Linked DNA regions of Macaca fascicularis. The protein of the gene in region 2 interacts with the protein of the main gene of each other region in a pairwise test. Links are inferred from orthologs where the notes say so. Each region holds a gene or a part of one and is shown on either strand. Other genes may lie near its edges.

The links.
Region 1: the proteins of CCDC102B (region 2) and BYSL interact in binary tests that used the Homo sapiens proteins (3 or more experiments, as listed by UniProt). The two-hybrid records come from large-scale screens. The link is inferred for Macaca fascicularis from reciprocal best matches to the Homo sapiens genes CCDC102B and BYSL.
Region 3: the proteins of CCDC102B (region 2) and MAGOHB interact in binary tests that used the Homo sapiens proteins (3 or more experiments, as listed by UniProt). The two-hybrid records come from large-scale screens. The link is inferred for Macaca fascicularis from reciprocal best matches to the Homo sapiens genes CCDC102B and MAGOHB.

The regions. Positions count from the first base shown.
Region 1 is NC_088378.1:129,639,721-129,650,634, reverse strand, and holds the start of BYSL (bystin), read left to right. Parts: upstream 1-1,746; 5' UTR 1,747-1,810; coding exon 1,811-2,078; intron 2,079-7,994; coding exon 7,995-8,157; intron 8,158-10,914. Other genes in the region: MED20 (mediator of RNA polymerase II transcription subunit 20), read right to left, coding at 1,255-1,268. UniProt on the Homo sapiens protein: Required for processing of 20S pre-rRNA precursor and biogenesis of 40S ribosomal subunits. May be required for trophinin-dependent regulation of cell adhesion during implantation of human embryos.
Region 2 is NC_088392.1:11,816,985-11,827,898, forward strand, and holds part of CCDC102B (coiled-coil domain-containing protein 102B), read right to left. Parts: intron 8,787-10,914; 5' UTR 8,778-8,786; coding exon 8,175-8,777; intron 5,750-8,174; coding exon 5,529-5,749; intron 1-5,528. UniProt on the Homo sapiens protein: During interphase, forms fibers at the proximal ends of centrioles to maintain centrosome cohesion. During mitosis, dissociates from the centrosome following phosphorylation to allow centrosome separation. Contributes to CROCC/rootletin filament formation.
Region 3 is NC_088385.1:10,340,069-10,350,109, reverse strand, and holds MAGOHB (protein mago nashi homolog 2), read right to left. Parts: upstream 8,367-10,041; 5' UTR 8,305-8,366; coding exon 8,211-8,304; intron 5,259-8,210; coding exon 5,200-5,258; intron 4,510-5,199; coding exon 4,399-4,509; intron 2,512-4,398; coding exon 2,429-2,511; intron 975-2,428; coding exon 875-974; 3' UTR 612-874; downstream 1-611. UniProt on the Homo sapiens protein: Required for pre-mRNA splicing as component of the spliceosome. Plays a redundant role with MAGOH in the exon junction complex and in the nonsense-mediated decay (NMD) pathway.

The DNA.
Region 1 (10,914 bases), on a different chromosome or scaffold from region 2:
AGGCCGAAGCGGGCGGATCACCTGAGGTCTGGAGTTCGAGACCAGCCTGACCAACATGGAGAAACCCCGTCTCTACCAAAAATACAAAATTAGCCGGGCGTGGTGACGCATGCCTGTAATCCCAGCTACTCCGGAGTCTGAGGAAGGAGAATGGCTTGAACCCGCGAGGCGGAGGTTGCTGTGAGCCGAGATCGCGCCATTGCACTCCAGTCTGGGCAACAAGAGCGAAACTCCGTCTCAAAAAAAAAAAAAAGAAAGAAAGAAAAAGAAATAAAGAAAAATAAAGAAAATCTTTAAAAATACTGTTTCCTGATTGCTTATAACACACTCCCTCTAACCCTGTCTGCAGGTGGGTCACAGTCCAAAGACCCTATTTCCAACCCTGACGTCCCATTGCGGGCAGTACTATGGCCTCACGGGAAGGAAAATAAATCTAGAAGGGAATGAGGTACACAACCATTGATAGGTTCCTGGGATAAAAACTTTGCTTTGTCGGCCGGGCGCGGTGGCTCAAGCCTGTAATCCCAGCACTTTGGGAGGCCGAGACGGGCGGATCACGAGGTCAGGAGATCGAGACCATCCTGGCTAACACGGTGAAACCCCGTCTCTACTAAAAATACAAAAAACTTACCCGGGCGAGGTGGCAGGCGCCTGTAGTCCCAGCTACTCGGGAGGCTGAGGCAGGAGAATGGCGTGAACCCGGGAGGCGGAGCTTGCAGTGAGCTGAGATCCGGCCACTGCACTCCAGCCTGGGTGACAGAGCGAGACTCCGTCTCAAAAACAAACAAACAAACAAAAAAAAAAACAAAAAACTTTGCTTTGTCGACACCAGCCTGGCCAATATGGTGAAATCCCATTTCTACTAAAAATACAAAAAATAGCCGGGCGTGGTGGTGGGCGCCTGTAGTCCCAGCTACTCGGAAGGCTGAGGCAGGAGAATCGCTTGAACCCAAGAGGCGGAGGGTGCAGTGAGCCAAGATCGCACCACTGCACTCCAGCCTGGCGACAGAGCGAGACTCCGTCTTAAAGAAAAAAAAAAAAAAAAAAAAAAAACTTCGCTTTGCTTTCCCGCCTTCCAAGAGGAAGGGGCGCATCTCCGAGGAAACAAGGCCGGGGAACCCGCGGCTCGCACGGCATCCTCTCATCCACACAACCCGAGGACAGCTCCCAGGGGACGGCGGACCACGGTCAAGGTCCTCTTTTCGGCCCTTCACAACTCCAAGCTCCGCCCTACAAAACCCCCTGCAGTCCTACCAAGTCACTCCCATGGCGTCGGGCCAGGAAGGCGGCCGGATCACACGGTAGAAACGCAGGGTTCCCTATCCGCCCACAGAAACTGCTTCAGTTCCCCAACACAACCTTCGGTCTCGGAAGAGACTCCGGAAATACGTAAAAACAGAGCGCCGGGTCCACGCCTTCCCCAAGGAGTGGGGCGGGTCTCAGGGCCCCTCGGTGACACCTCTAGTGACATCATCTGCGGATTCCCGCCCACAGGTTTCTAAATCCAGACATTCTCGTTTGGCTGAGCACTCTAGGCCTAGACCCATGAAGCTAAGAGCGACACTCAAAGACTGCACTGTTGAGAGAAGCTAACGTTAAAGGCTGTAAATATATTGGGGAGTCCAGCACCGGAACCCGGGAGCTCTTTTAGTGGGAGGGGCGGCGCTGATGGCGCTTCTGGCCTCCGAATGCTAGGGGGCGCTGTGATCGCCGCGTGGCCTCTTGAGAGCCGGGAGTCCACCGCGCAAGCGCAATCTGGCTTTTTCGCCGTCTCCACGTGCGAACCTCCGCGGCAACGTTTTCGAGAAAAATGCCCAAATTGAAGGCGGCCCGTGGGGTCGGGGGTCAGGAAAAACATGCGCCCCTGGCCGATCAGATCCTGGCTGGGAATGCGGTGCGGGCAGGGGTCCGGGAGAAGCGGCGGGGTCGCAGGACCGGAGAAACGGAGGAAGAGTATGTGGGACCCCGGCTGAGCCGGCGGATTTTGCAGCAAGCACGGCAGCAACAGGAGGAGCTCGAGGCCGAGCATGGGACTGGGGACAAGCCCGCGGCGTCGCGGGAACGCACCACGCGGCTGGGTGAGTGTCTGGGATGAGATCCGAGGAAGACAGTGGCCAGTAGTGGGGCGGGGTGGACAGCTAAAAAGTGTCTGGCAGGGGAATTGCTTCGAGTCAACAAAGGGTCCGTATTACACTTGCAAAAGTAATGGAATGGGAGACTGAACCCTGTTCAGAGCCCTCCGCGTCCACTCCTAGTTTTAGGCACTCCCTTCTACACATCCCCTAAGTTAGGCCAACAGTAATCGCTCGCTCCACCCTAGCATTTATCCATTGGTTTTGTAAATATATATGGGATACCCACTACGAGCTTTGTACTATGCTCGGAGTTCTATCGAATGTTTGGGTACAGAAGTAAACAACATAGGCACGTCTGACTTAAGGACCTTACAGTCAAGCCCAGTAGAGAGTCAATTAAGTAGACTCTTAGAATAATATTTTTCTATGATAAAGTGTCGCTTCCCTGGTAACAATAGCATTGGTCTTGAGAAGCTTCTCCGATTGCAGCAGGACCTTTTAAGTTGAGAACTGAAAAACGAATGGGAAGTGTTATGAGCAGAAAACACATTGTTTAGCAGCCAAAGAGGGAGAGAGATGAAAGACGTTTGATATTTTCTCGCTAGGGAGGGAGTGTTGACCTCTGAGATGCTTCATCCGTTTTCCAGATCTCATCTAAAGCAATATTTGACGCAATTGAATAGTGGCCTCCTGGCCACAGTATCCTTACTTGGGTTTTAAGACATCAACACTCCTGTTTTACTGCCACCTCACTTCTCAGTATCCTTGACTGACTCTTATTGCAACCTCTTATCCTCAGTCCTCTGACCTCTTCAAATATTCTCTGGTGCTGGCAAGTTTCGTGGTTTAAATACCATCTCTTGGGTGACTACTCCTAACTTTATAGTCTAGCCCTGACCTCTTCCATGAAATCCATATTCTTATATTCAACTGCCTATTTGGCAACTCCAATTTAAAATCTGACAGCTCAAATTTAACATGTACAAAACAGAAATCTTGACCTCTCCAAACCTGCTTCTCTCACCATTGTCTTCCCCGTCAGTAGCGTATTCTTTCATTTGCTCAAGACAAACTTTAGACTCCTGTATTTCTCTCTCCCCCTCTCTCCCTCTCTCCCCCGCCCCATCTCCTCTCTGTCTCTCCCTCCCCACATCTGATCTGTAAGAAAATTCTGATGACTCTGCCTTCAAAGTATATTCAAAATCAGACCACTTTTCACCGCTTTGGAACACCATCCTGTTGAAGCCACCACAATCTCTCACCTGGATTATCACAGTAGCCTCCTCGTTAGTATCTCATATTCTCCTTTTTTTCTTTTTCTTTTTTTTTTTTTTTTTTTGAGATAGAGTCTCTCACTCTGTCACCCAGGCTAGAGTGCAGTGGCACAATCATAGCTCACTACAGCCTCAATCTCCTGGGCTCCAGCTATCTTTCCCACCTCAGCCTCCCACATAGCTGGGACCACAGGTGTGTGCCAGCATGTCCAACTAATTCTTTTTTTTGTTGTTGTTGTTCTTTTTTGAGACGGCCCAGGCTGTAGTGCAGTGGCACGATCTCAACTCACTGCAACCTCTGCCACCTAGGACCAAGCAGTTCTTCTGCCTCAGCCTCCTTAGTAGCGAAGATTACAGGCATGAGCCATCACATCCAGCTGATTTTTGTATTTTCAGTAGAGATGGGGTTTCACCATATTGGCCAGGCTGGTCTTGAACTCTTGACCTCAAGTGATCCGCCCACCTCAGCCTCCCAAAATGCTGGGGTTACAGATGTGAGCCACCTCACCCAGCCACTAATTCTTTAATTATTTGTAGAGATGAGGTCTCACAGTGGTGCCCAGGTTGGTTTCAAACTCCTGGGCTCAAGTGATCCTCTCTTCCTTGGCCTCCCAAAGTGCTGAGATTACAGGTGTGAGCTACTGCACCCTGCCATATCTCATACTCTCTACAAAGCACTCCACAGGTAGGGGATTACAATGGTCTACAATGCACTTTATGATCTGCCTCCTTTACCAGTCTGACTTCTACTGCTTTCCTCTGCGCATTCCACTCCACCTATACAGGCTTCATTGTGCCTTAAACATGGGAAATTAGAGCGTTTGGCCTGGTTGTTCCTTCTCTCTGGGATAGTTTGTTCTCATACACTTGTAGGGTTACTTTCTCAGAGAGGCCTATCTACTCCATTTACGATTGCAGCACTCTACTCCATCTCCATACTCCCAATATTTCTGCCCTATCTTTTTTCATAGTACTTTTTTTTATTTTTTTTTTTTGAGACAGAGTCTCGCTCCATTGCCTAGGCTGGAGTGCAATGCTGTGATCTCGACTCACTGCAACCTCCACCTCCTGGGTTCAAGTGATTCTCCTGCCTCAGCCTCGTAAGTAGGTGGGATTACAGGCGCCTGCCACCACGCCCAGCTAATATTTTTTTTTTGTATTTTTAGTAGAGATGGGGGTTTTGCCATGTTGGCCAACCTGGCCTCGAACTCCTGACCTCAGGTGATCCACCCGCCCCGGCCTCCCAAAGTACTGGGATTACAGGCATGAGCCACCACACCTGGCCCATAGTACTTATATTTTAACCCAGTATATTTGTATGTTTATTTATGTCTGTCTTTTCCAATTAGACAGGATCTGGTGCGTTCAGAGTGGTATGGTCATAGACTGTCTCATCCAATTAGAATGTAAGCTGTATAGAACAAAGTCTTTTGATTTCTCTTGTTCATGGATATATTGCCAGCACCCCCAACAGTGCCTCACATATAGTGTAGGTGCTCAGTGTTTGCTGAATGACTGGGTTAATGGGTAATGAATGATGGTCAGGTAGGTAGGAGCAAACTTGCAAAAGATTTAAAAACCATCCTTACAGCAATAGGAAGAATGGAAAGCTACTGGAGAATTTTAAGTATAGGGCTAATCAAATCAAATATGTGTTTCTGGAAAATTACCGTCTGCAGAGTGGAAAATGAGTTGGAGGGAAGCAAGGTCAGAAACATGGAGATGAGTGGGTGACTGTTGAATAAATCCAGGCAAGAAATGATGCTGATCTAGGCTTAGATGGGGCTGTGAAGCATGTGGGAGACAGTCTATGAGGTAAAATTGAATAGGATTTAGTAATTGATTGGGTGTTGAGGGTGAGGGCAAGGGATGAGGCAGGAGCGCCTCCCAGGCTTAGCACTGGGTGGACAGTGGTACCATTTACTGAGCTGTGGATGGTTAGCATTATAGACCTAGGAGGGAAAGAAAATTAATATAGTTGATGACAGGTGAGATTTGAGGTGACTGTGAGTCATCCAAGAGCGGCTGTACAAGAGACACCTGGAGTTAGGGTCTGGCGCTAAGGAGAACCACCTACAAAGTACACATTTGGGAGATTGTTGGCATGTGGAGACAAAATGTCTGTTCCCCCTTAGCGTTTATCACATACTGCCACTGCCTTTGTTGTTAATGACCTATTGATACATAGCATTATAGTTCCCCACTTGGATTATTAGCCCCCCTTTCCAGATGCCCAGACATGTAGCCTTCCAAAAATGGAAGTTATTTAAATGGACTACTTCATTTATTTTATTTATTTATTTATTTATTTATTTATTTATTTATTTGAGACGGAGTCTCGCTCTGTCGCCCAGGCTGGAGTGCAGTGGCGCAGTCTTGGCTCACTGCAAGCTCCGCCTCCCGGATTCACGCCGTTCTCCTGCCTTAGCCTCCCGAGTAGCTGGGACTACAGGCGCCTGCCACCATGCCCGGCTAATTTTTTATATTTTCAGTAGAGACTGGGTTTCACTGTGTTAGCCAGGATGGTCTCGATCTCCTGACCTCATGATCCACTCGACTCAGCCTCCCAAAGTGCTGGGATTACAGGCGTGAGCCACCACACCCGGCCCTTTTTTTTTTTTTTTTTGAGATGGAGTCTTGCTCTTTGGCCAGGCTGGAGTGCAGTGGCGCGATCTTGGCTCACTGCAACCTCCAACTCCCTGGTTCAAGCGATTCTCCTGCCTCAGCCTCCCTCCCAAGTAGCTGGGATTACAGGCGCACGCCACCACGCCCAGCTAATTTTTTGTATTTTTAGTAGAGACAGGGCTTCTCCTTGTTGGTCAGGCTGGTCTCGAACTCCCGATCTCAGATGATCCACCCACTTCGGTCTTCCAAAGTGCTGGGATTACAGGCATGAACCACCATGCCCAGCCAACTTCATTTATTTAAATAGACTGGTGGATTGAAATCTGAACTCCACTGCCTGACTTTAAAGGCCCTCCAGTCTGGCTTCACCTTTCCCACCTACCTAGCATTATTTATTGCTATTGCCTAGGAGACACTTAAATCTGAAGCCTTATTTTCTCCGCGTCTGGAACACACTCCGCCTGCTCCCAAACTGCCCATCCAGCGTCTAACTGTCCTCGCCACTCATCCTCTAAGTGCATATGTCGTCTCTACCACTCATTGTGGCATATAATCAAACCCTAATATGTGTAGAATAGTGGTGAAGAATGCAGTCTAGACCCAGACTACCTGTCTTGGGCAAATTATCAACTTTTTGGTGCTTCAGTGTCCTCATCTGAAACTGGGTATAATAATAGTATCCGCGGCCGGGCGCGGTGGCTCAAGCCTGTAATCCCAGCACTTTGGGAGGCCGAGACGGGCGGATCACGAGGTCAGGAGATCGAGACCATCCTGGCTAACACGGTGAAACCCCGTCTCTACTAAAAAAAAATACAAAAAACTAGCCGGGTGAGGTGGCGGGCGCCTGTAGTCCCAGCTACTCGGGAGGCTGAGGCAGGAGAATGGCGTAAACCCGGGAGGTGGAGCTTGCAGTGAGCTGAGATCCGGCCACTGCACTCCAGCCTGGGCGACAGAGCAGACTCCGTCTCAAAAAAAAAAATAATAATAATAATAGTATCCGCTTCTTGGGTTTATTTTTATTTATTTATTTATTTATTTATTTTTTAAGTTTTTGCCAATGTTCCGTAAGAAGGTTTATTTATTTTTTTTTAATTTTATGTTTTTTTTTTTTGCCAGCATCTCACTGTCGCCAGGCTGGAGTGCAGTGGCGTGACCTTGGCTCACTGCAACCTCCACCTCTTGGGTTCAAGCAGTTCTCCTGCCTCAACCTCCCAAGTAGCTGGGACTACAGGCACGCACCACCACACCCAGCTAATTTTTGTATTTTTAGTACAGACAGGGTTTCACCATGTTGACCAGGATGGTCTCAATCTCTTGACCTCATGATCCGCCCACCTCAGCCTCCCAAAGTGCTGGGATTACAGACGTGAGCCACCACGCCCGGCCACTTCTTGGGTTTGTAAGGATTAAACAGTTAACATGGGTACAGTGTTTAGAAGTTCCTTCTACAGGCACGGCGCGGTGGCTCACGCCTGTAATCCCAGCACTTTGGGAGGCCGAGGTGAGCGGGTCACTAGGGGTCAGGAGATCAAGACCAGCCTGGCCAATGTGGCGAAACCCCGACTCTACTAAAAATACAAAAAATTAACTGGGTGTGGTGGTGGGTGCCTGTAGTCTCAGCTACTTGGGAGGCTCAGGCAGGAGAATGGCATGAACCCAGGAGGCGGAGCTTGCAGTGAGCCGAGATTGCGCCACTGCACTCCAGCCTGGGCGACAGAGTGAGACTCTATCTCAAAAAAAAAAAAAAGAAGTTCCTTCTACATAACTGAGTATGGTATGTTAACTATTACTTATGGCCATTTCTTTCTCATTGTTTCCTGTGTATACGTTTTGTTTCTCAAGCGTGATTGCAAGCCCCTGGGGACCGGGAGCTAATGCATGCCTCATTTGTTTCACTGCACATACCTGTGTCTATCACAACCACATGTGAGGCCTGTACTACATAATGACTAAAGTTAAACTGACTAAATCCCTCAGCTACCTTTTGCTGTGCTCATCCATTTAGTCTCCTCTCTTCTAGGTCCAAGAATGCCTCAGGATGGATCAGATGACGAGGATGAGGAGTGGCCCACCCTGGAGAAGGCTGCCACAATGACAGGGGTGGGCCACCATGCAGAGGTGGTCGTGGACCCTGAGGATGAGCGTGCCATAGAGATGTTCATGAACAAGAACCCTCCTGCCAGGTAGGTCTGGGGATTTGGGATAATGGGTGCTTGTAGAAAGTTCCCACAGGAAAACAAGTTCCCTGGCAGACTTACGATTCCCTACTTTAGGAAAGGGCCCTGGAGTTGCTAGTTGTAGGGGACCACCTTGACAAAACTGGCCCATCCTCAGCAGACCACTGTGAGTGGGAATGACCCAGCCTCAGAAAACATTGTATCCTTCTGTCCATTTATTGTACAACTGCCCAGTTGCCAGGGAAACAGCTCCAGGCCCGTTTTACACCTCTGGGGAGAGCCATCCTATTGCATCTGGTTTTGGTATTCTTGGTTTTTTTAGTGGTAAGCTCAACTTCCTTGGACAAGTGTTCATATCCTAAGCTTCATTTAAGCCAGGGTTTTTCAACCTCAGCATTATTGACATTTTGGGCTGGGTAATTTTATATGTGTGTGGAGGCTATCCTGTGCAGTGTAGGATGTTTAGTAGATATCTCTGATCTCTACCTTCTAGGCTCCAGTAGCAACCTTCCCTCTAATTATGAAAACCAAAAATGACATCAGACGTTGCTAAATGTCCTCTGGGAGGCAAAACTGCTCCCAGTTAGGACCACTAATTTATTCCCATCTATAATAAATGCTGGCTCCAAAACATGCAGGCATTTAGACTGCCTGTGGTCAAACTCCTGAGCCCATAAATTTTGGCCGTGGGGAGTGGAGTCTAGGATAAGGGTCCTCAACCAGTTCATTCTGACCCTGTGATACTAACATAATGGTGTCCCTGATACTTTAGATTGTTTGGGGTTAATGCATCTCTCATTGCTAATTGTACTGTAAAAGCACAAGGAGGCTGATAAATTCTGTGGCAACTTATTTGAAAATGCAGAATGAAGAAATAAAAATGAGCTCCTCTCCCAGATTGATGCCTAACAGTTGAAATATGTGTCACAAAATACGTACTCGGGCCTGTCCCACCAGAGAGCCTCTCAGGTTCTCATTCAGCACCTCATAACTCCTACTTCACTGATAACGCTGACAAATTTAGCAGAATGCTTTTCCAGCTTGCAGTAAATAGAATAGACAAGCTCCTTGAAGTAATCAGAACTTCTGGCAGTTGTAAGAAATGATAGCTGGCGTCTTCAGAAAGCAAGCCTAGATCCACATGAATTCAACAGAGGCCATTTAGTTTGGGGGCACATTATAAGGTACTATAAAGCATCTTAACTTAAGACTTTCAAAAACCTGAGTTTGACTCTTAACCCCACCTGACGGCTGTGAGGCCCAGTTGCCATGTCTGCGTAAGTTTCCATGTCCTATAAGTGTTGCACTGACTCTGGGACTGAAAAGTCCCAGACTCAGTGCCTGGCGTTGAGTAGGACCTCAGAAAAGAGGAGCAGTTTGTTTTTTGTTTTGTTTTGTGACAGGGTCTCACTCTGTAACCCACACTGGAGGGCAGTGGTGTGATCTCAGCTCACTGCAACCTCAACCTCTCGAGTAGCTGGGATTACAGGCGCACACCACCACGCCTGGCTACTTTTTGTTTTATTAGTAGAGACGGGGTTTCACCATGTTGGCCAGGCTGGTCTCAAACTCCTGACCTCACGTGATTCACCTCCCTCAGCCTCACAAAGTACAGAGATTACAAACACGAGCCACTGCACCCAACTGAGGAGCTTTAAATACATGTCAGTCTGGGCATGGTGGCCCAGACCTGTAATCTCAGCACTTTGGGATCCCAAGGCAGGAGCCCAGGAGTGTGAGACCAGCCTGGGCAACATGGGGAGACCCCATCTCTACAAAAGAATAAAATACGGCCGGGCGCGGTGGCTCAAGCCTGTAATCCCAGCACTTTGGGAGGCCGAGACGGGCGGATCACGAGGTCAGGAGTTCGAGACCATCCTGGCTAACCCGGTGAAACCCCGTCTCTACTAAAAAATACAAAAAAAAAAAACTAGCCGGGCGAGGTGGCGGGCGCCTGTAGTCCCGGCTACTCTGGAGGCTGAGGCAGGAGAATGGCATAAAAACCCGGGAGGCAGAGCTTGCAGTGAGCTGAGATCCGGCCACTGCACTCCAGCCTGGGCGACACAGCGAGACTCCGTCTCAAAAAAAAAAAAAAAAAAGAATAAAATACTAGCTGGGCCTTGTGCTATGTGCCTGTGGTCCCAGCTACTTGAGAGACTGAGGCAGGAAGATCGCTTGAGCCAGAGAGATAGAGGCTGCAGTGAGCCGTGATGGTACCACTGCATGCCAACCTGGGCAACAGAGCTAGACTCTGTCTCAAAAATAAATAAATAAATACACTTCAGCAGCCTCTGAAGGCACTGGTATTATATGACAGCTCAAGGTGATAGTAATGCTGAATCATTAAGATAATGTTTGATATACCCAACAATACTGTGTTTAAGGAGGCTGAAAAGAACATAATCAGTTTTAGAAATACTTCCATAGATACACTGCTGTGTACTGACCGTTGCAAGTAATGAACAGACATTAACTTATTTAATCCTTCCATTAATCTTTTAAGGTAGGTACCGTTATTATCCCTATTTTACAAATGAGGAAACAGAGGCATAGAGAGGTAAAGTAACATGCCCAAGATCATACAGGGAGTGGGTAAGCCAGGATTTGAACCTGCGCAGACCGATTTCAGAATTGAGATTCATAATAACCTCCATACAACTGCCAGCTTTGTCCTAAATGGAATGACTTTCAGTTCCTTTGCACCCTGCAGTGATTCTGTCTGTGGTGGATGAATGGGCACAGAGAGGGAACTCTGAGCTGCGC
Region 2 (10,914 bases):
GTAACTGAAAAACTTGAAAAGCAAATGGCATATGTTAAATTAATAAAATAATTTTATAAAAGATTTTAATTAACTGTATTTGTGTAATGAAGCATATATTTATGTTTCTCCTTAAAATTAATTTTGAGAATTATTTTATTTATAATAGAATAATGGAAACATACTTGAAAATTACCTAGAGTTAAAATCATACATGTTGTGAAATCAAATGTCTGCTTTTGATGTTATACTTTAATGAATCAAATGATAATTTAGAAACTCAAAATAAATTCAAAAATTTTCGAAGAAAGTAATATTTACCTCAAGTGTACAACATAAAGAAAATATCTGATATGTATTTGTTTCCTAAAGGAAAATTATGCATTTTTATTATGAAAAAGGTTACAATTTGGTTAGGGGAGTGAGAAAAAAAGGAATTCATAAAAAATTATTTAATGACAATGGGATACTTAAATTGTTTTAGTATTTAGATAGCCCCATCATAAACTTTTGTGTCTCTGTGCCAGCATTAAGGACATTGCGTGTCTAAATTTATGCAGCAGAGGGCACTCTATAAGTCCTTAATTTTCTAGCCTAATCATTTTATTCTGTGTTTCAGAGAGATTTTCAAAGTTGATGAATAATATAGTTAAATTTATAATTGAGCTGTATATTATTGTCAGAGCATTTGAGCTACAAGAAGGCAAACACTTAATATTTAAAATGTTGCATATTTTATGTACACATTCTTCATGAGAATGAAATTAAAAAGGCAAAGCTTAGCAAAAATGTAGTATCTTTAATATGATGATATAAACTTTAAAAAAATCATATTGCTAAAATATATAAAGTTTGTAGAATCTAAATATAAAATATGAACCAAAATTATTTTTATGAAAAGTTGTGATTATATTTCCATGCATTTTTTGATGCTTTGTTTACTGTCACAATTCCACAATAATTGGAAATAAAATTTAAATTTCTAGACAATAATATTACTCAAATATTTCTCAGGGATGAAAAGTCCTAAAAATTAATATCTAGGTATAAATATTAATCATTGTTGAACTGTGGGAAGTTTCACTGGAAAAAATTGAATCATTATTTTCTGAAAGGGTGTATTAATATAAAAATGTTCTTACCAAATCAAATGATTATCTTGTAATAACACGCAGATATTCATTTTTATAACAGTTCAAAATTTAGAGATAGTATTAAACTGTTAACAAGTTTTTACAAATATACTTTAAACAACATATATGTCATTTTGCAATTGCACTTCCTACTATTCATAATTACATCTTTCAGCACTGAGTGTTAGCACTCGGCTGTTGCAAACAGCCAAGCCATATACAATTAATTTAATTAGAAAAGATAAGTATTTAAAGAATATTGTTAAGCTCCGATCTCCAGGAGAATCATAGAACAAGGTTTGCAGATGAAGCAGACAGGGACGAAGACCCACTCTCATGCCACAAAACTGGTCCCATGAAGACCCCACTGCCTGTAACCTCCTCTGTCTGTTGCCTGTACACTGTCCTGGTATTATGGTCTGGCAAGCAAACATATTCAAATTAGCTAATTTGAGTGGAAAAGGATATTGTAGCTCAAAAAATTTCTGGGGAATACATGCAGCCAGGAACACTGATGAGAAAGCCATCGAAATCTTCCTGTAAGCACACTATTTCGGCCACCATTAAGGTACAGACATCACAGTGGGACCTCAAGATCACCAATATGGGACAGTGAGTGGTGTCACTAGGCACCAGAGGCCACCGCTGCCTCTGGAAACGAGTTTCTTTACTGCTGCTGCTTCCCCCTCAGGCATGGATTCTAGATGCTGTCTACTGCCTTGGGGTACTGGCTTGGCTTAAAACTCTAGGCGGCCACCTCTGATACACTGTTCCTAAGTCAAGTGTCTGTACCCTCATTACAAAGGAAACCGTGGTAGAGACTTACTGGTATTTTTATAATCTATGCACAGGTGTAGACTCTGTTTCATTTGGTAGCAAATTGCCGAAACACAAAATAGACACTGGAGAGTCAAAAGATGGTAAAGATTTATTGAATATTCCATGAGTGACAATAAAGAAACAAAATAAGCTTGACTTTCTAATACTTACAAATTTTACAATAAACAGTATTAACTAGATTTGCATGTCAATGTATTCATTAATTGAGGAATATATATATATGCTTTATATATATATATGTAAAGTAGAAATCTGTCTGTTTCATACACAGACCAAAAATAATAACCTTTGAAGCATTTTTAATTTGCTGAAACTTCTCACCTAGATTTTAAATCTCATTATGAAAAAAAGTTGAACATTTAATGAAGCAAAACAAAATAATTGAAGCATACTACTTTTCTTATATATAAAATAAATTAAGAAGATAAAATGGGCTGGGCACAGTGGCTCACACCTGTAAACCCAGCGCTTTGGGAAGCCAAGGAGGGTAGATCACTTGAGGCCAGGGGTTCCAGACCAGCCTGGGCAATATGGCAAAACCCTGTCTCTACTAAAAATACAAAAAAAAAAAAAAAAATTAGCCAGGCGTGGTGGCACAGGCTGTAATTCCAGCTACTTGGGAGGCTGAGGTGGGAGGATGGCTTGAGCCCAGGAGGCTGAGGTTGCAGTGAACCGAGATTGCACCACTGCACTCTAGCCTGGGCAACAGAGCGAGACTGTCTCAAAAAGAAAAGAAAAAAAAAAAAAAGATGAAATGGAAAAGGAGGACTGAAGCTCAGCTTAAAGGACACAGAACAAACATTTTATAAGTGATAAAGGAGGTCTCTGCAGTGAAATTTCAAAACTGATTCTGAATGTTAGAACAGTTCAAAATATTTTATCTCAGTCTCTGTTACTTGAGATTCGGTATTGCCAACCTCAGCTTCCTAAATTTTTAGGTACACATAGCTCTCTAAGAGGATCAGCTTTCCTGGCCTTCCTCTAAATTTTCTACCTGGGAAGTCTTTATGAAAGTCATCAGAAATATATAAATTCTCAGTATATGAGAAACTTTTAATGCTGGAGAATTATTCATAAAACTGAACAGTACTCAGAGCGCAAATAAAACAATAAAGTTTCTTCTATTTGATGAAGAGGTTCTAGTCAAGGACAATGGAAAAAATGAGTCCCTGAGTTTTCTGAGCTGATTTCTGTGCACTAGTTAAGAAGAGAATTTTCCCACTAGATGGGAATGCAGAAAAAAATACATTCACATCTCAATTCAAGCCACCCACTCACTGATATTCCAGGAAGAAGAATTTAAAAGATTAGATGGATTTATAAGTAATAGCATATCCTATATTCTTGGAAAATGTTCTCTTGCGATAGCAAAAAAGACTGTGATTGCCTCATGCGGATTGCATGCAAATGTTGATTCATGGACACAGGAACCATGACTCATCAAGTCCGTGGGATTGTTTCTTAAAAGAGGAGAGTAGGAAGACAAGGCCATGGAAAGCCTCCTTTTTTCTCTTATTCTTTGACCTGTCTATGGATTATAGACTGAAGTCACTGAGAACTGGAGAATGTACTTACTCTGAGAATTGTTCATGTATTCCAAGAAAGTAAAAAGTACATGTTGTGTATATGTACATGGATAAGCGTGTTAAGACAGAACATGCATGTTTTTAAAACTGACACTTTAGAATAGGAAAGTTTACATCTAGAAAAACACAGCTCTGCACTTCTCCCATTAGACTGCATCAGGGAAGTAATATCGTACGAGTGCTGGAGAGAAGTCTATAATTACCAAAAGTTAAATCCTTCAAGAAGTAAAAGCACAGAAATTAGAATGTGACTGAAATGTATAGGTCTAGATAAAATTGTCAGTATATGTACCAGCCTAAAAATTAAATTCAATTTTATTCTTTTTTCTACTGATGTTGGTTGCCTGTACTAGGAATTTACACTTGATAGGGTAATAAGTATTTATTCTGTACATAAATGCTTGCATGATCACAATCTATTAATCTAGTGAAATACAGATGAAGAGTCTGAAAAAGGGAATCGGTGGCACTAGTAAATTTCAGAGGAACTAATGAGAAACTTCTGGCAGAAAATAAGTGGTAAAGAACTTACTGTATCTGTGAATGGCTAGTATGCATATTTATCCTGATTTCAGTCCATTCAAACCAGGAAAATTAAAACTGTTATATAACATATGCTTATGTAATACATTGTGTGTATATATGCATACATATCCTTCTCGCTTTTCTGGTTCTGCCCATTAAGGCTTTTATAACTAAGAGATAAAAGTAATTATTTTTAGATTTTGGAACCACATTTATATATTAGATATTCCACATTGTGCTAATAAAATTGTAAACTGATTGCAAAGAAACAAAAATCCATATTGAATATTTCATATTACTATCCTCTTTCCCAGATGTTATTTGTTCTTGATCTTTATGAGAATTCACTGAGAAAGGCTATGACAGACTGTATTTTGCAAAGACCGTTGCCACAATGACTGCATCCCACACGCCCTTATTATACAATTGTTTTGACACTCCTTCCGTTGAAAGTGCTTCTCTCTCTTTGATCTGAGTCAGCCTTTGAGATTCCCACCACCGATAATGGGTCTGAAGTGATGCTACGTGACTTTTGAGGCAGAGTCATTCAAATGGCGTTCTTCTCTCTGTGTTCTTAAGATGTTCACTTGCAGCCTAGCCCCAGTGTTGTGAGGAAGCCAAGCACCCCTTTAAATAGCCCCAGTGCAGGTGTCCCAACTGAGGCCTAGATGAGAACTGAGGCCAGACGTATGAGTGAGAGAGGCTGCAGCCCCCAGCCTTCCAGGCATGGCCAGCCTTTGAGCCATTGCAACTGAAGGCACAAGTGAGAGATTCGATGTCCACGCCAAGGCATGCTCAAGATTCTTGAACAGAAGACATGGTGGTTGCTGTTGATACGTTTTAATGATAATTGTTTGGAAAAGTTTGTTTCAAGACAATAGATAACTGGAACATAACAGCACTACAGCTATTTTCACAAAGGGGCAACAGCCGACATCACATAGTTGGAATACATCAGAACAAAGATCTGATGTACATCAGATCTGAAATACATGAAGATCCAGGCCAATTAATCACAAGCCTGATGCCCTTAGTGGTCCATGTATCAGACAACTTTTTCTGTAATCAATATCTCACAAAATTGTGATTTTTCTGCTATTAGTATTAACATATTTATCCATTTTTTATTTACCAAGTCCAAGATGCTGTAACAATTAAATAACACACTGGATATTTTAACCTTGTACATTAAGAATTCAGATACAATTAAAGTGAATCTACCAGAGATGATAAAAACATAGTCATGATAAAAGTCAACTTAAAAGAATGAAAAACACTAACAAGTTATATACTACTTTTTAAAATTCAAAATATGAATATCTGTCAAACTAATTTCTTTAAATCCTAAAACTTAATGACTAAACATGGATAAAATACATTATCAAATGACCAATCTATCAGTATTAACAATTTTAAGTGGTTTGAAAGTTAGACTTGGTTAAGGGAGACAATAATTAGCACTTACTCTCTTTCCTTCCATAAGATTTTTTGGAATTCATCCAAATGCACCTGCAAAGCTGAAATTTCAGTTACTTCATTTTCCAAAGGCAGATTTATTGCTTTCAGTCTCAGCCCAGCTTTCATTTCACCATTTCCAGAACCACCATTGTTGAATAAGTCAACACCATCTAGATTGGGTTTCATTTCCTCACTTAATTTTAGAGAATCAATAACCACACCTTCTTCCTGAAAAAAAAAAAAATTTAAACCTCTTGGAGAAAAATCATGATGATAATACATTTTCATAAAGAAATACATGTTATGATACAACAACAAATTGATATTTTAATTTCATTATCATTCCCTAAAAGCGTTGTGTGGCCACACTTACTTGCATTCTTCTTCAAACTTATTTTTTTCTATGTTCTACCTCTTTACAAAAAAAATACATTTCTCAAAAGTTCTGCTTTAACTCTGTTTGTTCTCTTTTTCTAATCACGCTAAAAATAATCATGCACAAACTTGAACAGCTGTAAATAATTTTTAATGAGTTGATGAATTCCTCTTTCAAGTTTCTTTTGTCATAAGACACTTACAGTTTCAAAGTAATTATTTTTTAACATTTTTGAAAGACAAGATAGAATTTTCAGGAAGCTCTTGAATATTTTAAAAAGCTTGCTTATCGCTTTATTTTAGTTCCCCTTTTTTTAATTCATGAGCCACATCTCAAATAGAATTTAATGGGGCACTTTAATAAACATGGGCATCAATACTAGAGCAACAACTGCATCAACACTCTTAGAGCGTAACTCAAAAACCTCACAGGGCTCATGCAGTTGGTATTTGCCTACAATTTAAATTTGCCCTGGTTTATAAGTTTAAAATGAAAGACAATTTCAAATAAAATCTCAATGAATAGTCAAGTTCAAGTAAAATCTCGATGATACTTCACTTTTATTTTATTTTTTAAGTAGTATGTGAATGCCAGGTTACCCAGTATGAATCATTCCTTAATTCTCTCAAGAATGATCATTGCAATCATCTATACTATAATATTTTGACAAACAATAAAATAAGATGTGTTGTTTGAGGATACATATACATATCTTTCTTGTTGGGTATAGAGTTGGCAAAGATACTGGTCAAAATTTTAAGGAAAAAACTGATTGAAGCTTCTTCAACAGGTAATATTTATTTTCCTACCATCAGAAGGAATATCTGGAAGGATATTTTGCAAATAAATACATTTTTAATAAATAAGTATTATGTTTGATTTGTTCTTGACATTAATGTTAAGGAGATATTTCAGAAGAAATCCCAAAATATTGAGAATTTTCCATCATAATACATGTGAAGAGAATCCTTCATTTTCTCAAATGCAGAGGCTAGTAACTTGTAATAATAAAAACGTTTTGTGGATTTAGAGAACTTGATGTGAGCTATGTTCCCTTATCCTCATCATTGCATTCTTCTAACGCATACATTAATACAGTTGAGTTTTGAGAATATATGTGATTTTCCAAAAGATACACACAAAGCCCAGATTATCAGCTTTGAACATTTTTAAAAGAAAACGTAGAAGACCAAATAAGCAGAAGTAATCATTGTATTGCAATCTTCTTAATTTTTTTATTTATAGTTAAATCTAGGTTTTACCTACCATAAATTATATACATTATAGAATGGCTTAAAATACTAAATGCAATGGTAGAGGTGCAGGATATTAACTAATGCGTGTTAGAGAAGGAATTAAGTAGAAAGAGGTAACAAAATAAACTGAAACTATAATAAGAGGTAACAGGAGTTCCCAAAGTATGTTCTTTGGGTTGTTAATATTATTTACCAAGTTAAAATAAAAGAAAAAGAAAAAACAGGGTGGTGGTTCATGGATGAATAAGTGTATAAACTGAGAGACTTTTTAAAGTTCCATGTGCTTTGTACAGAATTCTCAGAAACTGAGATTCTAAGTATAGCAAGAAATTCCATCAGTGGTCCATATAAAGCATTTCCTAAGGTACCCTATTTGCCTGCAGTACCCATTTTATGAGTAGTTAATCGTGAGGCTTCAGTCCCAAACATTGAGAACTATTCAAACTACGTATGGATTGTTTACAATTTAGACATAATTAAGGCAAATGGAAAGAAATGTCTCCAAATATTTTCTTTTCAAATGAAAAATGCTGAGTTAATTTTTTCTATAAAGATTAGTAAAACCACTAGGATGGGCTGAACTTGTGTTTCCTCAAAATTTATTTGTTAAAGTCCTAATCCCCAGTACCATAGAATGTGACTGTTGGTGGAGACAGGGCCTTTAAGGAGGTGATTTAGTTAAATTAGGCTCATTAGGTGACCTTTCAAGAAGAACTTAAGACACAGACATGTGTACAAAGAAAAGACCATATGAAGACACAGGGAGAAAATGGCTTTCTATAAGCCAAGGAGAGAGGCCTCAGAAGAAACCAACCCTGCTAGCACCTTGATCTTGTACTTCTAGCTTCTATAATTATAAGAAAATGAATTTCTGTTGCTTAAACCACTGTGATTATGGTACGTTTTTACGATAGCGCTGGCAGACTAGTATAGTCACCACTGGATTTGTCACTTCCTTCTTCCTCCCCATCACTATCTATGACCTTCAGATATTCACATAGTCTCTGGATTTTTTTCTTACCTTATTATTTGTGTCCTCCTTTGTAGAAAATTGTCTTTTTACCAAACACTCTCTGATGGACTCACACATTTGTGAACTCACTTGAAATTGGTCTCTATGTTCACAGGCTTCTTCTGTGAAACCAGGAAGCTTCAGATCCTGGGTGTCTTTAGCTTCTAATGCCTCCTTCTGAGGTGGCAAACTCGGTTTCTTTTTCAGTGTACTCAATTCTTTCATCGCCATCTCTAGTTTTATTCTGAGTTGTCTTCCTTCCTCCCTGGCACTGTTCCTTTCAGCTCGAACTTTACTCCATTTTTCTCTCCAGTTGGCAGTGCAATCTGACCACCACCGCATGGTCTTTTCCATCTGAGCAGCTCTGGCCTTGACTTCTTCAAGCTCCCGCAGGCGAAGTTCTTCACAAATATCCCATTTGTTGGTGTTACATGAGTGTGCACAGAAATTGTGAGCAGCATGAGATTGTAGCCCATGAAGTGGGAAGCAGGTATCCCTGGGGGGTGAGGCAGGTGTCACCATGTCACCACGTGACTTAATTGATGATTGCTGCATCTGGAAGATCTGTGTTTCTTCAATTAATCGATGAATGGAATCTAAATTCATATTCATCTTTGAGACCTGAGAAAAGATAAAGGACATAATTTCATGCTGAAATTTCCCTTGTAAATACAGGAATAAGACCTACATTTTTGTTGTTTTTGAAATTTGATGAAAACAATGCCACTTTTTTTTTTTTTTTTTTTTTTTTTGGAGACAGAGTCTTGATCATGCAGTAGCATGATCTCGGCTCACTACAACCTCTGCCTCCAGGGTTCAAGCAATTCCCTTGCCTCAGCCTCCTGAGTAGCTGGGACTACAGGCACGCACCACCAGGCCCAGCTAATTTTTGTTGTATTTTAGTAGAGATGGGGTTTCACCATGTTGGTCAGGATGTTCTTGATCTCCTGACCTCGTGATCCACCCACCTCAGCCTCCTGAAGTGCTAGGATTACAGGTGTGAGCCACCACGCCCGGCTGCACTTTTTCAATATTGCATATTTTTCCAATGTAACTAAAAATATAGAGGAATTTAAACACTTGTAACTGTCCACTAAGAAATAGAATATTCTCATATTCAATTTTGCCAAAAAAATACAAATAAAAATATAAAGATGCAATTGAAGATAGCATATGACATAAATAATTCATTTTGACAAATCCAGTCCTATTTAGGTCATATCTATTGCAACATTGTCCACTACAAAATACAAATTGTAATATTTATTGTCCACTAACTACTTAATGGTTTTCTTTATCCCTGCTAAGCCTCAATTTGTTCAGGCAGAATGCACAACCTATTGATGTATAGGCAAATAAGCCTCTATTTCAATGCCAGAGGTTAAATCATAGCCTACATTTTCCATGATGCCCTTCATCTGTTGACTATTGACTAGTCTCAAGGCAGCCATATGGCCTGACTCTGGCTGCTGGGATGTGAGATGAAGTGTGCTGAGATTTCCCATCCAGAAAAATATGAGAACATCACAATGAGGAACTCTATTTCCTCTTCCTTCCTTGTGTTTGAATAAGGACATAGTTCTGGAAGAAGGTGAGTATAACAGCCTTCTCATGACATTCAAAATGGTGAACCATGAAGATAAGAGCCTGATTTAAGGTGTGAATTATGGCATGACAACGTAGAATGCATACCTCTGATTTCTTTGCTATTTGAGCAGAATAACCTATATTTATTTAAGTTATGATGGTTGAGTTTTCTGTTATTTTCAAGCAAAAGCACATCTAACATATACATGAATTAATTTCTCACTGTGGTTAATACTGTGATAAGATCAAAAATAAAATATTATGAAAAACACATGTTTCTTGTGTGTCAAAGGTTTTACAGTCTGGTGGGTGAGAGAAGCACAGTTAAGTTTTAAAGATACATAATTTACATTATAACAAATACATGTATTTGTTCAATAATTTTGTTTAGTATGCAGTATGTGTCAAGTCAGTGTTAGATTAGTAGGAATGGTCAAGGTGATCTAAGGAGTACTGATGAAGTTGTGACTACCACTTAGAAATGAGGAAACTTTACAGCGTAGATAACACGACACAGAGTCTTAGCCCAATGCAAAGCTTCGTAAAGAAATTAAAATCAACTTTCCATATAAATACCAAACACAAATTAATTTGTAAAGGCATACCATATGTAACAATACATATACCCAATTCTTTTTTTTTTTTTTTTTTTGAGACGGAGTCTCGCTGTGTCGCCCAGGCTGGAGTGCAGTGGCCGGATCTCAGCTCACTGCAAGCTCTGCCTCCCGGGTTTTTACGCCATTCTCCTGCCTCAGCCTCCCGAGTAGCCGGGACTACAGGCACCCGCCACCTCGCCCTGCTAGTTTTTTTTTGTATTTTTTAGTAGAGACGGGGTTTCACCGTGTTAGCCAGGATGGTCTCGAACTCCTGACTTCGTGATCCACCCGTCTCGGCCTCCCAAAGTGCTGGGATTACAGGCTTGAGCCACCGCACCCGGCCTCATATACCCAATTCTTTATTCAACATTGTAATATAGGTATATTGAGAATATAGTAAGTAGAATTTTTGCTTTAAAAAAGTGCTCAAAACATGCAGCTTAATTTGTAAATTAATAAAGTTCCATGGCTGTAAATAATTACCCATTTTTATTCTCAGATATGCTTTTCTGGTGTAAATAATCTTATATAATATTTTATGTGCATGACATTTAATCCTCTCACTT
Region 3 (10,041 bases), on a different chromosome or scaffold from region 2:
CAGATGGAAGAATAAAAGGAAACAAAGGACATGGTTACTAAAAGTAACGAAAGAGGAAATCTATTAGAAAGAGGTTGAAAGGAACTGGGAAACTTAAGTGAGACCCGTGGTCAATAGGAGTTAAAATATTTCTGTCCATTCATACGCACATGTACGTTTATCTAAATGTTTAACAATTTATAAAGCTGAAAACTCATTTAGTTCCTCTCCTCCCCTACACACCAAATACATTGTGAAATAAGGAACAAGGACATAATCGAAGATATGCCTAACATGGGGTAGACTTTACTTTTGTAACACTTTAGGACATCACTGCTTATAATTGAAAATATTTAAATGTGAATAATTCCTGAGGGGTTTGTGATAACTGTAAAACCAAACCAAAACAAAACAAAACAGACCTTCTGTAAGCCCCCCAAAATTAAAACCAATCATGTATGAAGGAAATAAGGGAAGATCTACAATTGCCTTTCATGGATGGGAATATGGCTACATATTTCCACCTAAAGTATCTTCTGTCACAGGATATACCTACCAGAACAATTTCTTATTATCTCTCAAGTGAATTAAAGACATAGCCTCCTAGAGAAAACAAAAAACTACTCTGCAACCAGGATTTGGTATGTTTTATTAGAGCAAATTTTTAACAAAAGGTGGCTTTTATTTACAGAATTTAATATGTGTGGGGAATGTCCAACCCATGTGGACTCAAGTAAAGATAACCATTAAGCTGGCTAATGTATTTTCTTATTTTCAGTTTACATACAAATTTTTTTTTGTTCGCTTCACATTCATAAAAACCCCAATATTGTAAATGACAAATAACCCCTCCCATCCCTTAATTAAATATACAAACAGCTTGAAAACATACAATTTAAATTGGTTTAATCTTGAAGTGTAATCCAATAAGACTGAAAACTAAACATTTCAAGTCTTGTACCAAATAGTAAAATACTCGAAGACCTTCAGGATCCCTAAAATTTAAAAAGGTAAAAGTTACTTTTTCTTCCTAGGATAAAACAATTCTTTAAATTCCTAAAACAAAACAAAATTAAAATCTTTTAACAATTAAGTTAACAATATTTAGGAGAAGGGAAGGATTTTGCCAACAACTACAGCATAAAATGAATATCTTTTCTATAAAAAAAAAAGTTTCTTCATCAGTATTCATTTTAGTATTTAAAGATTCATCTCCTTATGAATGTCATAACCGCATCATAAAAATGTCTAATAAAGCAGAAAAAATAATACCGTAATGCCACCATTTCATAGAATAACTGTGAACATTTTGATGTTTCTCTATTTTATAATAACTAAAATCATTCCCTGTGCCCCTTTTTACATTGCTTTCCCCACAGCATTAAAAAAAAAAATTCCCCAGTAATTTTTAATTAATTTAATAATTCTCTCCCTGTTAGACAACGGGGTTAATTTCCTATTATTAATAATACTTCAATGAGCATCTTCATGCATAATAAAGATTTTCCAATATTTAGGAGTAGTTCCATAGAAGAGATGCTCAGAAATGAAATTACTAGGCCAAAGGTGAATGAAAAATGTCAACGGTTTTTGATGCATATTACCAAACTGCTTTCCAAAAACCACTACCAATTTATAATCCCAGTAGGGTATCAATGCCACATCCTCACCAAATGTAGGAAAAGAAATTTCATAGTTTACAAGCATCCAGTTGGTCTCTGTGAACACAGACTTTTGTGTCCAATAGTCATTATGCATTCATTCCTTTCTCCTTTCCTCTAATAAATATTGAAAGCATCTATTATGTGCAGGGCACTATGCTAACTTTGTGGATACAGCAAGGTTCTCATGGAGCTTACTTAAAGCAGACAAATAGGTTATTACAATTTAGAGTGACAGAAAAAGGGAAGAGCACTATGGGACACTTTGAGGGGAATGGGCACAAATAAGTGGCTTGGATCACACCAAGAAAATGGGATGTACTACAAAACCCTGGGGCGGAGGAGAGATCGATCTTGGGAAGACATTGGTAGTAAAGGATACTTAGGCTAGACTGGATTTTTTCCATCTTTTTCCCAAGTATTGAGCCCAAGGAGGAAAGTGAGATGACATGGACCTAATGAGGCTGATATAATCCAATAAGGACTTCTTTTCTTCGGATTTTCTGATACTATATCCACATTTTTATACAAAATAGCTAATACAATTTGGGCATTATTATATACAGCTGTTGGATTAAAATTTTTTGGACAATCGATGAAATACTCTGCTAACTTCTACTAAGAGACAAGATAGTAAGCCTTTAATGACATACAAATCAATTACATCTGCATAATAAACTGATAGGAGGCCACTGAAATTATCTTGGCTAACAAACTGACTATACTATAGTTCTAAAATGAGCCTCTCTAATAATGACAACTTGGCCAAAATGCTTTAACATACTTACTTTGACTGATTTACGTCAATAAGAGAACCTATTTTTGATGTGGTAAATGATATGTGCTCATCTCCAATTACAATTTCAAGCTCCTAAAAAAAAAATAGCAGAAAAATGTAGTTAATATATAAATCTATCCCAGAGATATCTGTATTCTTGCTACAAACGGATCCCAATTTTAGTTGCAAGTTTTCTAGCAGTCAACGGGGCGTGGGGTGGTGAGGGGAAAGAAACTTGGTGTATTAGATATAAACTATATCCTTAAAATAAAAACTGCTCACGAGTACTACCCCCAAGTTTAGGACCAACAAAGAATTGCTTTCCAGAGACATAAAGAAGACACTATGAAACAAAATGACAAAGAAATATTTCTTACAATGTCAGTAAAAACTGAAGACGTCACTTTGAAGCACATGTTAGAAAAATGATAGGAGTATAAGACCATTTTTAATATGACAAATACATATTTTTTCTTTCTGGAAGATTCTACAAATAAAATGTATAATATTAATAACCACCACCACCAGTTTAGCACCTACTGTATGTCAGGCTCTAGTGCTAGGGACTTTATACTCTGTAATCTTGAAAATACCCTTATTAACCTATTTTACAAATGTGTAATTCAAAACTCACAAAGCAGAGGAAAACACTTGTTGATATTTATAACCACTAATGAGGATGGTACTTATATTTGATCCCAAGACTGTAAGACTTCAAAACTAATACTCCACAAAATAACTAAAATTAAGAACTAGTTTAAAAAAAAAAAAAACCATACTGTAGATGTTCCTAGTGTGCTGTCATTACTGTATAGATTTTTCCCTATATTGTTTCTCTGCAGGCCTAAAACCAATAATTAAGAAGCTGTATCTGTAATGAATTTTCAAGTTAACAGACACTGTTGAAGACAATCCTAGCTATTTAACCGGAGGCCTAATTATGCAGTTTATGACACACACCAAATGGAGAATTAGCTAAGATGCTCTAACAGCCATAAAACCTTTGACCTGATACAAAAGGCAATTTCTGAAGCATGCCTACTCCTCCCCACTAACCAAAACCCATGAACACATCCTTAAGCAAGTAGATAAAATACTAGGCTCTCCCTGAGTCTAAATGATATAAAAGGTTAGCTGCTGTGGTTTGCTTTTTAGTACATCTGTATATCTGCATAAAACAAACTGAGGCCTAAATTTGCTTTTTAAAAGTGATACCATGATTAAAGTAAATACTGTTAACTATTACCTTTGCTCTTCTAAACAATGTTTCTTTAAACAGAAGAGTTAAGTTACTCCTACAGAGTGTCAGCATGTGTTAGATCTCTCCACATTTTCTTCTACTCAAAGAAGGTGATATAAAGTACAATCCTCAGGGATACACAAAAGTGAAATTAAATGTTTCTTCCTTCCAGGGGTTGTATCTCATTTCTCCAAGAGCTGAAAAGACCCAATTCAGAAACCAAAATTTCTTTTTACAGAGTGAAATTAGGCCTTCAGAGTTCTTCAGAAGCCTTTTGAGAAACATCAAGTATTCTGAAGGAATATGAGAGGCAAATGCAATCATAAGTTTTAACAAAGAAACCACCAATCAAGTCTCTCTCTGGGGTATAGGGATGCAAATAAGAATTTTAAAAGTTATGATTTGGCAAAAGTAAATTTTACATAGTCATATTCTTAATAAAAGTGATTAACACACAACAGAAATTATTCATAACACTGCACTGTGAAAGCATCCTAATGTTGGCTAGGGTGACTACAGAGAAAGATATCTAAATTTAGAGCTATGCACTGACTCCTTCACTACTAGGAGGTAGCACAGAAAAACGGAACTAAAAGACAAAATTAAAGAGAATTTACCAGGTGTCTATTAAATGGAAAGCCAAAGAATCAACTTAGACTCATTCAAAATAAATAAGGGGAATCATAATAGTATTATCAATTTTTAATATTTATGCACTTAAAGAATCACTAAATACAAACCTGTCGGCCAACCCTATCAGGGGGAGGCCACAAAGCATCATCTTCTTTTGTAATTTCACTGTCATCAATAATTCTCTTCAGTTCTTCCATTACACTCTTGTGCACATAAGCCTAAAAATTAATCATAATAAAATTGGATAATGTCCACCTATGTCACCCCTCAACTCAGAAAGAAATAAGAGTTACAAACTCTGAATATTCAAATAGAGGAATATAGAAAAATTTAATTGATTCCAAAAGTAGAGAATGAGAGAGAATAATTTATCCTTGTTATATTACTTTTCTTCATCTCTTGCCCTTTCCTCTCACATTTATTTTTCCCTCTTCTCATCATTACCCATCTTTGAAACACTGTATTCTGCCTTTGTAACATTAAGATCCAAATACCCCCAAGTGGTTAGATCACAAGATCTATAAGGTGAACAGTAATAAATGCAAGTACACTGAAGCAGGAGAATCGCTTGAGCCTGGGAGGCAGAGGATGCAGTGAGCTGAGATCACGCCACTGCACTGCAGCTTGGGCAACAGAGCGAGACTCTGTCTCAAAAAATAAAAATAAAAATAAAAATAAAAATAAATAAATAAATGCAAGTGTAGTTCACAACAAGGTTAGTTCTCTGAACCTTCTCATTCCTATGGATGCAACCATTGTATCTAATTTAAATGGCAACTCTTTCAATCTGTAAATTGCCTTCTTCTTTACAATATAGCCTTAGATGTACTTTTGTAAATTCAACATAGACTTGAAGAAAATGGGCTAAATGCAAAAAAAAAAAAAAAAGACATTCGAATAGAACTTACCTCTTTTCTGATCATGACATCATTTTTGTAATTGCTGTTGTTGGCATATCTAAGCTTTCCTGTGGGAAATGGAAAAAAATCAATTTACAATAGCAAAAACTGCTAAAAAAAATTAATGACATCATATACAATTTTAAAGGTAAAGACCATTTTATACTACTTTTATTATTTCCTCCCTCCTTGTGTAAAATCATTGTTAGACATGTAGACAATAAATATTTGCTGGTTAAGTTTGCTGAAGTTGAAGATAGCCAAATATTTAAATAGTCTATGCCTACAACATATAGATATAGGGTCATTTTTACAGCCTATTTTCTTAAGCTACATCATGAACTAGAAAGAGAATCTGCAAAAGGCACTAACATTCAAGTTTGTTATATGTATGTATTGGTGTTAAGTGCGTTACACAGAGAATTTAATCTAATCTGTAAAACAATCCTAAAAATCAGGTTTTATTCTCTCACCTATTCATAAGAGAGAAAACAAAGTTAAGTAACTTAAACATGGGAGATTCAGACCTAGATCTACTTTCTTTTAATACTCAGGCTTTCTCCACTACAAAAAAATGTTCCTTTTTTTCCTTCAAATGTATGCATACAATTATACTGTAGACATTTTAGAATTATGACTAAGAAGGATACAAACGATGCTTCTGGATCGAAGTTGATGAGTTTGTTAGCTAGTTTATATTTAATTTTAATCCATCATGATTTGTGTATTATCTGATGTATGCTTCCCCTTATGGCTAGTCAGTTGCCCAGACACAGCTATAAGGTGCAGCAGTTACTCTAAAATGATAGAAATGCCAGTCTTTGATGGCTTGGCGCCAGGCGTAGTGGCTCACGCCTGTAATCCCAGCACTTCGGGAGGCCGAGACAGGTGGACTACCTGAGGTTAGCAGTTCGAGACCAGTCTGGCCAACATGGAGAAACCCCATCTCTACTAAAAATATGAAAAAGTAGCCGGGCATGGTGGCACATGCCTCCAATCCCAGCTACTCGGGAGGCTGAGGCAGGAGAACCGCTTCAATCCAGGAGGCAGAGGTTGCAGTGAGCTGAGATGCACTGCAGCCTGGGTGACAGAGCAACACTCTGTCTCAAAAAAAAGAAAGAAAGAAAAAAAGAAAAGAAAAAGAAAAAGAAAGAAAGAAAGAAAGAAAGAAAGAAAGAAAGAAAGAAAGAAAGAAAGAAAGAAAGAAAGAAAGAAAGAAAGAAAGAAAGAAAGAAAGAAAGAGAGAGAGAGAGAGAGAGAGGAAGGAAGGAAGGAAGGAAGGAAGGAAGGAAGGAAGGAAGGAAGGAAGGAAGGAAGGAAGGAAGGAAGGAAGGAAGGAAGGAAGGAAGGAAGGAAGGAAGGAAGGCAGGCAGGCAGGCAGGCAGGCAGGCAGGCAGGCAGGCAGGTCTTCGGGAGACTCAATATTACCAATAGAAGAAGTATGTGTAACAGTGCAGTGGCAGATACATTGATTAGAACCACTGTTCTAGCATAAAACTTCCCTGATAATATTCAGGTGCTTAATTTATGTGACCTGCTAAAAGTAATAGAGACAAGCTTGACGGTGTTCACAGGCAGAGGAACTGAAAATAATACTACATAAAGAATAGATGAATTCAGGTAAATTTAGCTGAATTTATGGGGAGAGTAAGGTCGAATACAGTGATTAAGGTTTCTAAATAATTGCAGGGCTGGCACGGTGGCTCATGCGTGTAATCCCAGGACTTCGGGCGGCTGAGGCTGGTGAATCTCTTGACCTTAGGGGTTTGAGGACAGCCTGGGCAACATGCGGAAACCCATCTCTACAACAACAACAACAACAACAACAAAGGAGATGGGCGAGGTGGCACTGGCCTGTATTTCCAGCACCTCGGGAGGCTGAGGTGAGGGATCACTTGAGCTTGGGAGGCGGAGGTTGCAGTGAGCTGAGATCGTGCCACTGCACTCAGATCTGAGTGACAGAGTGAGACTCTGTTTCAAAGTAATAATTGCAGGACTGTAGTTCACCTGAGTTCTGCCTGAAATGCTTGATACTCTTCTCCTTTCCTAATATACGTTTCTCCTCTAATTTTTTATTCTTGCTCTCACAGAACATTGTCCAAAGCCTGCTTATTAATATACCTACTGCTTTATAGTTAAATGTCTGTGTCCCCACCAAGACAAATCTCTTTGAGTTAAATTTGTCTTACTCATTAGTGTACCTTCAAATTTTGTATTTGCTTGTTGCCCAGCAAAAAACGTGCATTTAAAAAAAACCAAAACATATATATCCAAATGAACTTTCTTGTTGCAGGTAGGCAGGACCAATGTAACATTCTCTAATAGCGCTGTCAGAAAACAAATTGTTGCACGCTACTGGGGTAGCAGTTTCACCTCGTCCTCTGCTCTCACTGCTCTGGAAGTCTGTTTTTTTCTCTCAAAGGCCAAGTCTCTCATTTCGAGACTCATCTCAAGAGTGTCTTCCTCTAGGAAGATTTTCCTGACTCCCTCCTGTGGAACTTTACATCTCCCCTCTTTTTTGGTACTCTTCATGCGTCCTGTGGTGAACAATTATACGTAGACACCTAAAACATATTATTATTCTCATTTGTTAACACGTCGGGCTCCTCCCCTTCAAAGAACACACACAGCCTGAATGAAGAAAAGGTACTGGTCACCACAAGATTTTATTCATCCATTGGACCACCCGCTGATGGGGGTGTTTTCAAAAAAGTGCTAGCATTTTTAATCCAGGTCAACAATCTACAGAGTCCCTTCTGGTGCAGTTACAGAATTCTGATTACTGTAAGTTCGACTTTTCAGTTTGCGACAGGATTAGCTTTAATTTATTGCAATTAGTTCTCTTTCATTTATAAAACCAACTTAGGCCTCCTCTATTCTTAAGCTCCTATTTCCTTCGAGGGAAGCAGTGGCCTCCGCCCCCTGTACCCTCCACACCACCCGGCCTCCCCTCGCCTCCTCCACGGCCTCTCGGTCTCGCTCCCCTTTCCCAGCACCGCGTGCCGTGGGCCTCTTCTCACCGTCCGGCCGAAATTCGAACTCCAGAAACTCGTGCCCAAACTTGCCCTTGTGCCCTACGTAGTAGCGCAGGTAGAAATCGCTAGCCATAGCCATTTTTGTCCCCGGGAAGCCCGCCGAAAACCCAGCCAACGTGTCCCCCGGCGCCTTGTAGTCACGTCATCGCGCGGAATAAGTGCGTCACCACAGGCGCTTCTCTTCCGCCTGCCTTGCAGCCCTGGACTAAAGCGTGAAAGCCGAGTCTCGCGTGAGAGGCCAGTTGGTGCTGAAGGGAGAGTCGCATGCCGTGACTTTCTCTTTACTAGGATTGGAGGCACATTATTTTCAAAATAAAGATCACATTATATTAGCAAATATTAGAAATGTGAGCATATGATAGTATTTTTTATCGACTTAGAGCTAAATTAGGTTTGCAAGTGGCTTTTACTTTTCTGGTCTCCCAGTCCTCGGGGCGTTTGTGAGGTGGGTGTGGCTCTATTCCCCCTTTAACTGGGAGCTAAATAAAGATAAAGCTTAGAATAGAGATGGCAGACCGGGAATATAAACCATTTTTCTTACTTGATTTCGAACAGGGTGCTTTCCCCTTTGAATAACGATTGGTAGTTGCCCCGGACCTATAAGCCTATAATAATAGAGACAAAGTCAAAGGAATCCATCACAGCAAAGAACTTAAGAGATCTCATTTGATCTCTCAAGAATTCTGTGAGCTTGGCAATGTAGATTGCTGTATATGCCTTAGGCTGAAGAACAAACAGGCTTAGAGATAGTCACTAGCCCGAGGTTAGGTAGCTGTAAGTGTTGGGATTGAATCCCAGGTCTTCTCACCACCACTTTCTACTAAAAATCACTGACGGTAATTTCAGTGGGACAAAACTGGCTTAAAGTCTTAAAACACACACCCCCTACGCCTGAAAAACCCTGACTGTCACCGTGCTGTTTTTTAACAGCAGAACTTCTATGGTTCTTAATTCATTCAGTAAGGGTTAACTTTTAGTAGCCTGTGGAGTTTTGGCAATTTGACTTAAGATACAACAATGGTTTAGCCCATTACTGTTTCTCGCCAGATATAATTAAATTGGAGGAATGAAAGAATGCTCCATTGTGGCATAGTTTTTAAGGTAAGGGAAAGACTTTTACACAAAGTCTGCTTTTTAAATATTATTGATCACCCTTTTGTTATCAACACACAGAGTAATCCTCTCTGCTGGTTGACAACCTTCAGTGATTTTTGTAGAAAGTGGTGGTGAGAAGACCTGGGATTCAATCCCAACACTTACAGCTACCTAACCTCGGGCAAGTGACTCTCTAAGCCTGTTTATTCATCAGCCTAAGGCATATACAGCAATCTACATTGCCAAGCTCACAGAATTCTTGAGAGATCAAATGAGATATGTAAAATAAGCTTTAAATTTTATAAAACGTTAGTTTTAACAAACATTTCCTATGTGACAGTTTGAAACTAGAAATAAAAAGGCATTTGCACTGGTAGTCTAGAAAAGAAAGCAAACTTGTAAGGCAAATATTGGCACAATGGATCAATTGCTATAATTAAGAATATATGTGCCATTCTGGCCAACATGGTGAAACCCCGTCTCTACTATAAATACCAAAAACTTAGCTGGGCGTGGTGGCGTGTGCCTGTAGTCCCAGTTGCACGGGAGGCTGAGGCAGGAGAATCGCTTGAACCCGGGAGGCAGAGGTTGCAGTGAGCTGAGATGATCCCACCGCACTCCAGCCTGGGCAACAAGAGCGAAACTTCGTCTCAAAAAAAAAAAAAAAAAAGGAAAGGAAAAGGAAAAGAAAAAGGAGGAGGAGGGAGGGGGAAGGGGAGGA